Linked DNA regions of Bombyx mori. The protein of the gene in region 2 purifies or fractionates together with the protein of the main gene of each other region. This does not show direct contact. Links are inferred from orthologs where the notes say so. Each region holds a gene or a part of one and is shown on either strand. Other genes may lie near its edges.

Region 1 (4,483 bases), on a different chromosome or scaffold from region 2:
TTAAAAATTCTGATTTATGGTGTGTTAAAAGCATAAAAAATCCTGTCAAAACAGATTCCAGCAACAACAACAAGGATCTTACTGAATCATTTCAAATGGGACAAAGAGAAGCTTATGGAACGTTTTTATGATGGAGACCAGGATCAGTTGTTCTCTGAAGCTAGAGTTATCAATCCATTCAGGAAACCTGTCATACAAAGGCCAAAGGTAAATGTATTGCAGACTATCCTAAAAAAAGTAATTATATTACAACATGATTAAAAACATTTCATTACATTACCATATGTGTATATGCTAATGTAATCTTAATTTTTTATGCTATATTCATCAATATATGTGAATAATAGACATAATTAAATTTACTTTTGTGATGTAATCTTGCAATTTTAGAGTCATTATATTATTTCTAACATTTTAAATAGTTTACAGTTTTTGTGATGACTAACCACTAAACTGTTATTTATTCAAATTTGAATATTGTGTTGGGAGTCATTTGGAAATATTATAATGACAATAAAAGTTTCAAGTTAAACCATAAAAGTAGTTTATAATTAATTTCTTATATCATCATTATTCCATGTTTTATTTATTTCTGTAACTACAAAGACAAATTATGAAATAATCACCGTTGTTATTATGTACAGTACTGTTTAAATGTAATACTTGGATGGAATTTTTTTGTAAATGCCAATCCTTCTTTTTGTTTTGGACTGGGCCCGATCCTCTTATGAGATAACTGGCTGTTAACGTCAATCCTAACTGTAGACTTTTTTATTTACTGGTAACAGTGCGATTTACCCACTATAAGCTTTATGTGTCCATTATTATTTCTCTTTGCTCTGCAGAATACAGTGTTCATTCAAACGTATAGCTCATCAATGTAATCAAATGCAAGGTTTTTTTAATTTTGCTGTACAGTTTACACTTTTTATTTAGATATTTCCTTACTAGTTTTTTTATTTTCAGCTTCCCAGGAGGATATCAACGTCTGGTATGGAAGAATGTGAAATATGTTTCTCAGTTTTACCAACCTCTGTAAGTTTGACAAATATTTTTAGGGCCTGAAAATGTTTTTCATTATCATTGATCTGTTGATGAATTCACGGCTAGCGTTAAGTGGTTGCGAGAACCCATAGATGTCTTGTTTCATGTCCTAATCTGAAGAAATGAGGTTGAAGTTTAACTTTGTATAAAGGCTACATTATTAATCAAATCAGAATGCATTGTTGACTTATGGCAGAAATAGAATCACTATATGAACAATGTAAACAAGCTCACTGCCCATCTGGTTTTAAATAGTGGCGAATACACATCACAATGTGAATTCCACCAGACACCTTTAGATATGTCGAAATCTTAATTATCCAATCCTTCAAGCTGAAAAGTCAGATGCCATATTATTATGCTTCATAGTAGAAACATAGAATGGTATCCTATAAGTGTGGGCTATAAGTGCCTATAAGTGTGTAGGGATCCACCCTACCTACAATAAATGACAGTGACAATGAGCGGTCACAGTATACTGACTGCTATGAAACTAGAAACACCGCTACTCATTCTCTGTGGAAAATGTTAGTTGGTACTGCTGGGTGTGGAAAGGAGGAGTTGGAGTGTTACTATTCTAGGCCACGCCCCTAATCTTGGTGGTTACTGCCGCTCACTGATACTGGTGATATCACTAGCAAAGTCAGTCACGAAACTATTGGAAAGGCTTAACACCGCGTAAATTAATGCTTGCTGAAAATACATAACCTCATTATTTTTTTGCACCTTTTAGTAACATCTCGGCAATGTAACACTTCTCACGCGTGGTACGGTAAATAAGTGATGATGGCCTCGTTTCAAACGGGGTCATTTTTAAGCCACACACGTGTATTTATCAATTTATTAAATTATCGAAGATTAGATCATAAATTTTGAAGGCGCTTAAAAGCCCTATAGTTATTGTTCATTTTCCAATTTCCATTTGATGAACATACGACATTATTTAAGTATATTTATATTAATTCTTTTACGTTTTCAGATTATGACTGGGTTGGAATGTGGTCACAGATTTTGCACGCAATGCTGGTGTGAATATTTAACTACGAAAATAATGGAAGAAGGCTTAGTGAGTAATCATGGATATGCTTCTCAGTGACTTGTGATTGTGTCAACTGTGTTACTACCGCTCTGTAGTTTATTGACCTAATATCCAGATAAGCGAAAACAGTACCTACGCATTTGTTTACCGTATTTTTTATCCTTTGTATTTTTTAATTATTTTTTTTTGTATTTCAGTATCGAATTGTTTTGTCTACTGGATTCAAGAAGGATTTTCTTGTATGAATTTACAGTATTACGATTTTGTTTCAGGGTCAAACAATAGCTTGTGCCGCTCACGCCTGCGACATACTTGTTGACGATGCGACCGTGATGCGGCTAGTACGAGACTCTCGTGTTAAACTTAAATATCAACACATTATAACGAATAGTTTTGTGGAGGTGATGATTTTAATTTATACTATCAAATATAGAGTGTATTGAAAACGTTCGGAAATGGAGAGGTTGTATCTGTAAACGTACAATCTCTTTTTTTATGAATTATGTTGCATTACTCATGATGTCTCTTTTTAAAATCGAAAGGTTTGTGCTGTATCTTCTCGCGAAATAAAGTGAGACGTTCTCCAAATGGCGTAAACAAACATTGCATAAAACAGTATTCATGTTCAGTTTCCTTTAAAGCCATCTCACTTCTTTATCTTATTAATTTTTCTTTCAAAGATGTTAAATTAATAACATTCTTTATCAATTTATCTTTAACATCTTTGTACATAACTTGTAATGTTGATGAGGAAATATCAACAGTAAAATAATATTACAAATTATAATGGACAAGAGAAATTTACGAGATAATATTTTTAAAATTATATAAATTATCGTTTTACTGGTGGTAGGACTCCTTGTGAGTCCACACGGGTAGATACCACCGCCCTGTCTATTTCTGCCGTGAAGCAGTAATGCGTTTCGGTCGTCCACCCGTCTAACCAATAAAAAAAAAAGTGTGGTGTCGTGGGACACCGGATAGGAACGAAGTTCCTTATTATATAAATATTAATTTAAAGTTCTATTCGAGGTATAAAGAAAATAAAACTGGAGGTTTCGCAACAACCCACGGCCATTTGGTAACGTGCGAACTTATTGTGGTACACTTCATTCACGGTTGTTTGCATAAGAGTTAGTGTATTGCGCAAACGAACGCTCTGAGATCGTGGTCAATGAATGATAAAAAAATTTAAGTCGTACACTGTGTGCATTACTAATAAAAATCTTACGTTACGGTCGTTTTTTCCCGGTTAGGGTACCCCTCCGCATCGTCCCATAAGGAACTTCGTTTCGAAAAAACCCCACAATTGGATGCCATATTATTAAAGATAGATGTTTTTGTTTTTGTACTGAAGAGTATGAGCAATAAAGAGTATTATTTTGTAACGTGGTGTCCGCGTCGACAGTGCAACCGGCTGCTGCGCTGGTGCCCGTCCCCGGACTGCAGCAACGCGATCAAGGTGGCGTACGTGGAGGCGGCGCCGGTGACGTGCCGCTGCGGACACACGTTCTGCTTCGCCTGCGGAGAGAACTGGCACGATCCGGTCCGGTGCTGTTTACTGAGGAAGTGGATTAAGGTCAGTGATCCTGAAAATCTACGGAGGGACTTTGATTTCCTCTGTATTTTGTAAAATATGTTCCGTGGGGAGCGCTCTGCAGGGACGTCTTAAACTAGGATGGGGCCCTTGGGCACACAAGAATTTGAGGCCCTTTTGGAAAGTAAAAAAAGCGAATTATAATAACATTTTTTTACTGAGTATGACCATTTATTATAGGTAATCAAATACAGTATGATATAATATGTCATTAATGATATTAGAATGCTGCTGGTTTTTTGGTTACGATTTCGATAACGGTTTCTTTCGGGGTGTCTGTTGAGCAAAATCTTCTATTATAGGCATAGTATATCTTGTAATTCTGATTACTGATTCTGAAAAAAGGGTAAGATGCCCGAGAAAAATGTTTTGAGAATAAGCGTGTGAGATTAATTTTCGGTCTTTCGGGGCCCCCTGAGAATGGGGGCCCTGGGCACGGGCCCCGTGTGCCCTTATGGTAAAGACGGTATTGGTGCTCTGAGGAATTGTTTGAGACTTGTGGAGAGTATTAAGCGGTGGGCACCGGCCTGGTTTGGCATTGCTGAAGTCCATGGGCGACGGTTACCACCACCATCATCAGGTGTATGTATGCTCGTCTGCCTACTAAAAGGTAAATAAAAAAAAATGATAAAGATAAATTTATTGGCTTCGCCTGCGTTTATCTATCTATTGTATGTGTCAACGGAACTTTTCTACGTAATTTTTGCCAACTTCAAAACGAGTGATTAACTTGAAAATTTGCACACATGTCAAGAACCGATAACAATAAAGTAGTTTTGTTATTTTAGCTTAAAGACTGATCA
Region 2 (4,043 bases):
AATTTTGTCTAAAAAATAAAAATAAAAATTTAGGGGTGGACTACCCCTAACATTTAGGGGGATGAAAAATATATGTTGGCCGATTCTCATAGATACCGGATAAGCACAAAAAATTTCATCAAAATCGGTCAAGCCGTTTCGGAGGAGTATGGCAACGAAAACTGTGACACGAGAATTTTATATATTAGATTTCTTCTTTACTCCATTCACAAGTTTCTTTTTTTTTTTAGTTGTGTGGGAAACTAAGTGTGTATCTATGGTGGGAAATGAATGTTGGTGTTGGAGGGACTTTTTGGCGGGAACGCGAGGAGTGAAGTGGTGTGATTTGTTTTATTTTGTCTATTTAGTGTTTCTTCAGGTTTAAATATGTAATAACGGTGGCTTATTAACTGTTTAATATCTGTGAAAGTGCACAAAAGTGGGAAAATGAAACAAAGCTGCTGGACGTAAGTTCTCGGGTTCCTCTAAAAAGTCTACTGAAAAAATCTCAGTAAATGACCACCATTTTACTGAGATCATATTTCATCCCATATCATCAAATTTCATTTAATTTCATCTAAGTTGATTAATTTCTCAAATTAATCATCTTCATTTCATTTCATTTATCTCCATATTATCATTTTTCATAAAAATAAGAATATAAATTAAAATAAGACATGACTTAAAGGTCTTAGTTATGAGGTCATAAAATCCCTTAAAAAACAATTGGTGTTGGAGGTACTTTTGGCGGGAGCGCGAGGAGTGAAGTTGTGTGATTTGTTTTATTTTGTCTATTTAGTGTTTCTTCAGGTTTAAATGTGTAATAACGGTGGTTTATTAAATGTTTAATATCTGTGAAAGTGCACAAAAGTGGGAAAATGAAACAAAGCTGCTGGACGTAACTTCTCGAGTTCCTCCAAAAAGTCCACTGAAAAAATCTTAGTAAATAACCACCATTTTACTGAGATTATATTTCATACCATATCAACTCATTTCATTTAATTTCATCCCAGTTGATTAATGTCTCAAATTAATCATCTTCATTTCATTTCACTCCATAATAAAAAATTTATAAAAATCTGAATATAAATTAAAAAAAGACATGACCTAAAGGTCTTAGTTACCAGGTCATAAAATCCCTTAGAAAAATTTAAACGAAAGCAGAAAAAAAAACAAAATTGATTAATGATTTTATTCATTCGTTCACTCATTGATTCACTGTTTGGGTTTAAGGAAAAATCTCCAGAACATAAGGGCATTTTCGTTTGAAGATAAATAAATTTCACTTAATTGTGAACATTCAAATACTTGAAAAAACAAGGTAAATACTTCGCTATTTATAAATTGGAAAATGGCGTCTTATTCTCAGCCGTCGTTTTATGATTTACGTTCCCACCGCTCTTTTGTTCTAGATGCCAAATATTAAGTTGCAATCATCAGACAACGAGGTCTTCGTTGTTGATGTTGAAATCGCCAAATGCTCCGTAACTATCAAAACTATGCTAGAAGACTTAGGCATGGAAGAGGATGAAGAGGAAGTTGTACCTTTACCTAATGTCAATTCTGCAATACTCAAAAAAGTTATTCAGTGGGCTACTTATCATAAAGACGATCCTCCGCTACCAGAAGATGACGAAAACAAGGAAAAGAGGACTGATGACATATCATCATGGGATGCTGATTTTTTGAAAGTTGACCAAGGCACACTCTTTGAATTAATATTAGCTGCAAATTATTTGGACATCAAGGGTTTATTAGATGTCACATGTAAAACTGTAGCAAACATGATCAAAGGAAAGACTCCTGAAGAAATCCGTAAAACGTTCAACATTAAGAATGATTTCACTGCTGCAGAAGAAGATCAGGTTCGTAAAGAGAATGAATGGTGTGAAGAAAAGTAAACCATAATAAATGCTATTTGCAAGCATCTTTATGTATTATCACTATGTATGCAACATTAAACTATTTTTCCCATGGCAATAAAGAATAATTAATTTAAACCAAGTAAATTTGTTTGTGTTGTAAATTATATAAAAATAGGTACATCATGTCATTGTGATTTTCAATAAAATTTAAATTTTCATATTATCATTTAAATTACTTTTCATTTAACTTTAATTGTATTATATTTATTGGAAAATTTACTTTATGAAATAGAAATAATTAGCATAAATCACTGACTTAAATTTTTGTCATCTGCTTATTTTTTAACTAATTGTGTGGGTAGTCTTGATTGTGTCCAGAAATTGCCAGTATCCATTGCAATGTTAAACCACAAAAATAAGTTTGTCACCATCAATGTCAATACAAAAAGTAAATAAATATACAGTCACAACCGTTTACTGCGACATCATTTTGAGCAACATGCTGGTTATAATAACCTAGAACAAAGGTCCCGGCTGAATGCTATATGACCGCCTTATTAAAAACATTGCTTTATACGACATTGCTAATACCGACATACCTAATAAAATGACCACATTTAACTAATATTTCGGAGAATTAGATCTGTTAGAACGACCGGCTAAGCTGTATTGTAAACAATTTGAATAGGTATCCACATTTGTCTTCAATGGCTATTAAAATCAGGAAAGAAAACAATAGGATTTTGTTTAGTGTAGGGTCTTTTCTAATTCTTAGAAACAAAAATGTGTATGCGGTAGAGTCAAAGCCCACTTCTTCATATCTTTTCAGTTAGTTTGTTACTTATCTATACACAAGACACACCAAAACTTTGTGGAGTTATTCGTGAAACTTTCAAAATGTTGCAAAGAAAAAAAACAAATTAATAACAAAGAAAAATTGCGTTTTGTGTAAATATATTTTTCCAATAATTCACTATCGATTTGTTTGTACTTTGTTTGTACTTGCACGATACACATTAAACATCACTGGTTGTTACGACTGAATATGAGCAGTCCCTTCGATGTTGTTATAATAGATTTTCACTGTATATGTATGTATTTGATAACCACATTCCCTTAGTCAGTTCCTGATGCTAAGATAGAATTAAACCATCAGCATAACAAATGAAAATAATATATATGAAACAATTTTTTCCTCTTAGATATTTGTCATTAAAATTACTTTTAAAGCTTAGTATATGAACCCATAGTCAGAAATGTCCGTCTGCCTCTTTCAAAAGAAACTGGAAGTGAGTTCCAGCAATTTAATTTATATTGTGCTACATTGTATGCTATGTAAAACAAAATTTTAAAGGTGATTATTTTTTGTTGGATTGTAATTTTTATAATTAAAAAACTACTTTTACAGTTTATCTTGAGTATATTATTATCAATTTATAATTTCAGTTTCAAAATCTAACAGTTTTTGTGGTCATGGATAAGAGGTGCAAGTAAACTATAAAATTTGTAATGAAAAAAATCTTATTGGCAATTATTTATTGTTTACAATCATTATTATTTTAATAATAAAATATCATTACAAATGAAAAAAAATAATTAATAATAATTATCAATTATTTATTCTCTCCTTTTCATAGAACATAATGTTTAGGTCTCATAGTTTGTTTGACTTGGGGTTTCATGTAATAGTCAGATGATTACTTTTTTTCTGATCCAACCTTTTTTCCTTTTATTTACAATAGCTTCATGAGCTATTTATGGAATTAAGGATTGTTTAGGGTGTATTGAGCCATGTTAAATTTCACTATTAGCACTGTCCAGAGTATGTTAAAATAAATCAGACTTATGTTGGGTTTGACATCTGCAATATTTTCCTTAATTCGTAACTAAATGTGCGTGTTACTCCAATGCTATCCAATGTATGAGGTTGCTATCTTCTCTCTACCTCCCTTGATGTACAGCAGGAACAATATAGCAGTAAATAGAGCGACCGGTCGACGGTGTATCGCGTCCCGACCCGGCAGGCTGGTTTTGGTCCAGCGGGGTATTCCGGGACACCAGCGGCACCGTCTGGGCGGCCCGACGGGCTGCCGTACCGAGACGGCCGACGTTTCAGAGCCTTCGATTCGCCTCGAAGGCTCCGTCGGCTGGGCGTCCTTGGGGTTAGCCGCGCCGTCTGGTTGTAGTGTTGACCGCGGT
Region 3 (4,483 bases), on a different chromosome or scaffold from region 2:
AATTTCATCACAAGTACTTTGAACTTCACTTGGAGGAAACAATCTCTGCCCCCTTTAAATTTAGGAAGGGTGTAAGGCAAGGCTGCATATTATCTCCAGTCCTTTTCAATATCTATGGAGAGTATATCATGAGACGGACTTGTGAAGGCTGGGATGGTGGAGTTACCATTGGTGGAGTAAAATTGACCAACCTCCGATACGCCGACGACACCACTCTTCTCGCGGCTAATGAAAGCGAGATGGCTGCTCTCATGAGCAAGCTTGAAAAAATTAGCCTCGAACTTGGTCTTGCCATTAACCGATCCAAAACAAAAGTGATGGTAATAGACCGCATGAACAAACTGGAGCACACGGGGTCACTGCATCTTGAAAAAACAGAAAGATTCATATACCTGGGCTCCATGATTGCGAATACTGGATCGTGCGAGCCTGAGATTCGAAGACGTATCGGGATAGCAAAAACTGCCATGTCTCAGCTTGATAGCATCTGGTCCGATAGAAACATCTCCATAAAAACCAAGCGTAAACTTGTAACAAGTCTTGTGTTTTCTATTTTCTTATATGGGGCGGAGACATGGACTCTGAAGAAGGCTGATCGAAGTCGGATCGACGCGTTTGAGATGTGGTGCTGGAGGAAAATGCTGCGGATTCCCTGGATGGCGCATCGGACAAACGCATCAATCCTGGAAGAACTAGGCGTCTCCTTAAGACTCTCCACCATTTGCCTACGTAGGATCTTAGAAAGTGGAAGGAAAGAGGCCTAGGGGGCGTAGTCCCATGCGCTGGTCCGATCAGATTAAGACGACTTTGGAATCCAGCATCAATGTCGCTATCCACTGCGCGGAGGACAGAAGTGAATGGAAGAACAAAGTCCTGACAAAAGTGCTCAGTAAAGGTCACGACCCTCAGAACTGAGGAATACGACGCACGGAGGAGGACTTTGAACTTGATGTGGTTGGAAGTCTCGGTAATTCATAACATGGATCTCGTACAGAATCATCACTAGAGAATTCAAGTACAGAATAGTATGTTAAACTACTGACTTGACCTGATGATGTTGACAGTATAGGATCGTCTACTACTAAGTTCTCTGTGTTCAAAATCGACTGTTGATTTACATTTTCTAAAAAAGGACAAGGCAATTATCTATTTATAATGATATAATATTGATATAATTACGTAATTTGCAAATCATAATTTTGAAGATATGTGAAAATATACCTTCATTGCTTTCCAGATGAGTGGATAACGCCATTTCAACTAATTTCTTGCCTCTTTGAATATTCATCTTAAATAATTAAAATACTTAAGCACTCACACACAACTAACTAACACAACTAACTAACCAACAAACTGTGCACAATCGACAACATTAGTAAATTAAAACCACTTACCGAAGTATTGTTTACGTTATAAATATTTTTAAGTAACTACTTTCTCTAAAGAAATGTTACATTTTGATGTTCTTTATAACGTAAGTCAGACTTCTTACGTTAATAACTTTGTACTTATGGTGTTCCTTAGAACATAAGTCCAGTTATGTTTTTTAGTTCGTTTGATTATATTAGGATTTAATAAGGTTGATACAGAACGCCGCTTGAATACACCATGAAATACTCGAGTTTGATTTATGTGCTTTAGTCAGATTGTGTGTTGAGCAAAATGTAAACCGATGATGTAATAAAAAATAAATTGAAAATTTTGACTTATGTGCTTTAGTCTGCCGACCCTAGAATTAAACATGATAAATGTTGTGTAAAATCTTCTTATGAAATCTATTCTTAGAACACATTTGTACTAAAATTTCAGATTTTCCTACAAATATGTTCATTTTTGGATGCATATTTTCTCAAAAATACACTCAGTAAGGTGTGTCTACGGTTTTGTGACATACTAGCCGACGATCAACTATGGAAGCATTGGGTACAGAATAAAATTAAGGGAAAATTTCCCCCAGTAGGTGATTTAAAAAAATGGAATGTTGATCCTGCAGACTGGCAGGATTTATATATTGCAATGGAAGTAGAAAAGAAAACTTGGTGTAATGTTGAAGAAACCATGAAACATATGGTTGTAAAAGATGTACATTTTGCATCAGTTGATGCTGTGTTGTTAGTGAATGTAAGTTGCTAATCTTGATTGAAAATTAATATATTTTTAATTTTTTATGGCCTTAGCAAGCAGTTTACAGCTTATGAAAAGGGGTTACTGCCACAGTGGGTCATGATTCCGATTGAGTGATAGATTCTGCAGTACTCTTGCCTGAGCTAGTGTTGGCAAATTCTCAGGTTGAGCTAGTGAGCTCACCTACCTGTCTGGGCGTATCTAGAATACCCTCTTAGGCTACCAGTGAATAGGTAGGAGAAAAAAAGGCACACTTCAGGATTGATTTTTACTATAATACTACTATCAACATGTAATAGATTATGTGTTAGTTATTTCAATATATTACTATACTTAAAAAACTAGCAATTATAATTATATATAGTTTATTATTAGCATAGTCAATGTTTTAATTGTACTAACACATGATGCATTACGATATCTGAAAATAAAGTAATGTAAAAAAAGTAAAATAAAGCAGGTATTCATAACTTATTGTTATATTTAAACTAAGATAGATAGAGAAGCTCTTGTTTCATTGGTTATATGGATGGATGGATGAGCTCACTCCACCCCTGATGTTAAGCGGTTATATCAGCAGCTACTGAAATCAAAACATAAATGCTGCCACCCACTTTGAGACATGAAACATTAGCATGTAATGAAACTGAAACACATTACCGTTTCACAATAGAAATCATGGCATCAGTAAAAACTCACGACACAACTGTGATATCCCAATATGAATTCTGCAGTTCACCTAGAGATGTTTGGATTAACAGATGATGATGAAAAAATAATAATTGGATATTGATCTGCTTATAATGTCACTTAATTGTACCAATTTTAAAAGTTTATGTTTGAATTTCAGAATGGAGAATTGTGTATATCAGGAGGTAGGGATAGAGGAATGGCGTTGTGGAATGTTTCGGACATTAGTGCAAAAAGTGAAACAAATGACGGAGTAACATCACTAACGGACACCAAACCAAAACATTTAAGACATGATGCTCATGCAGGCTGGGTATGGGACTTGGCAGCAGATGTTGTGAACTCCGCTTCCAAAGTTTATTCTGCATCTTGGGATAATACTGTGAAAGCATGGGACTTAGCTACTGGATTTCAGTGTATCCAAACATTTCAGTAAGAATATTATAAAAAGTATTTTTATCTCCTGTACTAATTAATATTGGAATGTGAATCAACAGGCTTGAATAATGTAAAAACGTCTTTGATCAAAAGCCTAACACTAATAATAACTGTGTTGTCTTACACACTAACAATAAATAATGTAAGAAAATGTGTCTGGAGTAATAAATAATGTAAATTAAAAAGTAGAAAATTGCACATTAGTTGATGTTAACAGGGTCATGCATGATTTGTTTATTGCTACTAATAATGGTGGACGAGCTCATTACCCACCTGGTTCACCTGGTTAAGTGGTGACCTGAGTTCACAGATATCAACCCTTACCTTGCCTACCTTGTTAATACTGCCTTGCCTACCTTGAGACATGAGTGCTAAGTCTCAGTTTTTACTGTATAATGGGCTCCCCACCCTTCTAGCTAAAATGCATGATACCTACCCGGTGATGGTACCTACCCGTGTGGGTTCACAAGACGCCCTATCATCAGTAAATGATTCCATGGGTCGCTTGTTCTAATTATGTTACATTCCCTGCAGTCTTGAAGATATTGGTAAATATGTAGAGTGTATCAATTGTGATTTTATTTTTATAATAATAATACCAGGAATCACAGTTGAAAATTTAGTTTTTTGTATGTAATTTAAAAATAGTTTTTAATTGAATTCATTATTTACCGTCAATCTATACATATAAATAAAATTGAAGTGTCTGTTTCTAATATTGAAATAACCGCTTTTTACTACATGCATATGAATACGGTACATACACCCAAATAACATTTTTTACAATTTTTGTCTGTTGGTTCCGGCTAATCTCTGGAACGGCTGGACGCTGAGATTTTGACGAGACTTTCACTGATAGGTAGCTGATGATATAAGGAGTAACTTGGGCTACTTTCTTTAGACTAGCTTCGCCCCGCGGCGTCAATACGACAATAACCGTGGGTAACATCGCGGGACTCAGCTATCAATTATAAAATTTAATGTTTCCGAAACGAAGCGAGGGCGGGTCGATAGTTTAAACTAAAATCATTCCTTCTCACTACAACACCCTCTGTTGCTAGTTTTCTGACAGGCACTTGAGCGTAACGAGACGCTCCGGCAACGCAACGGATTCCTCATTTAGCTAGTCAAAGGATGTCCAAGCTACTTAGTCTTTATTGCCCTTTTCGAATCCCATATTTCCGTTATCCAAGCATAGAGATACTTTTGTTAGGCGAGAGGTCGAAGTTAT

Evidence for each region. Proteins that work in one complex are often made in the same cells at the same time.
Region 1: the proteins of S-phase kinase-associated protein (region 2) and E3 ubiquitin-protein ligase ariadne-1 purify together in Homo sapiens (affinity purification with mass spectrometry; 4 studies listed by BioGRID and IntAct, with this or other methods). This does not show direct contact. The link is inferred for Bombyx mori from reciprocal best matches to the Homo sapiens genes SKP1 and ARIH1.
Region 3: the proteins of S-phase kinase-associated protein (region 2) and F-box/WD repeat-containing protein 9 purify together in Homo sapiens (affinity purification with mass spectrometry; 6 studies listed by BioGRID and IntAct, with this or other methods). This does not show direct contact. The link is inferred for Bombyx mori from reciprocal best matches to the Homo sapiens genes SKP1 and FBXW9.

What each region holds. Positions count from the first base shown.
Region 1 is NC_085127.1:9,587,371-9,591,853, reverse strand, and holds part of E3 ubiquitin-protein ligase ariadne-1, read left to right. Parts: intron 1-54; coding exon 55-207; intron 208-966; coding exon 967-1,035; intron 1,036-2,023; coding exon 2,024-2,110; intron 2,111-2,355; coding exon 2,356-2,484; intron 2,485-3,491; coding exon 3,492-3,662; intron 3,663-4,483. UniProt on the Homo sapiens protein: E3 ubiquitin-protein ligase, which catalyzes ubiquitination of target proteins together with ubiquitin-conjugating enzyme E2 UBE2L3.
Region 2 is NC_085119.1:7,149,960-7,154,002, forward strand, and holds S-phase kinase-associated protein, read left to right. Parts: upstream 1-1,153; 5' UTR 1,154-1,300; intron 1,301-1,391; coding exon 1,392-1,880; 3' UTR 1,881-2,560; downstream 2,561-4,043. UniProt on the Homo sapiens protein: Essential component of the SCF (SKP1-CUL1-F-box protein) ubiquitin ligase complex, which mediates the ubiquitination of proteins involved in cell cycle progression, signal transduction and transcription.
Region 3 is NC_085111.1:14,057,221-14,061,703, forward strand, and holds part of F-box/WD repeat-containing protein 9, read left to right. Parts: intron 1-1,809; coding exon 1,810-2,121; intron 2,122-2,974; coding exon 2,975-3,246; intron 3,247-4,483. UniProt on the Homo sapiens protein: Substrate-recognition component of the SCF (SKP1-CUL1-F-box protein)-type E3 ubiquitin ligase complex.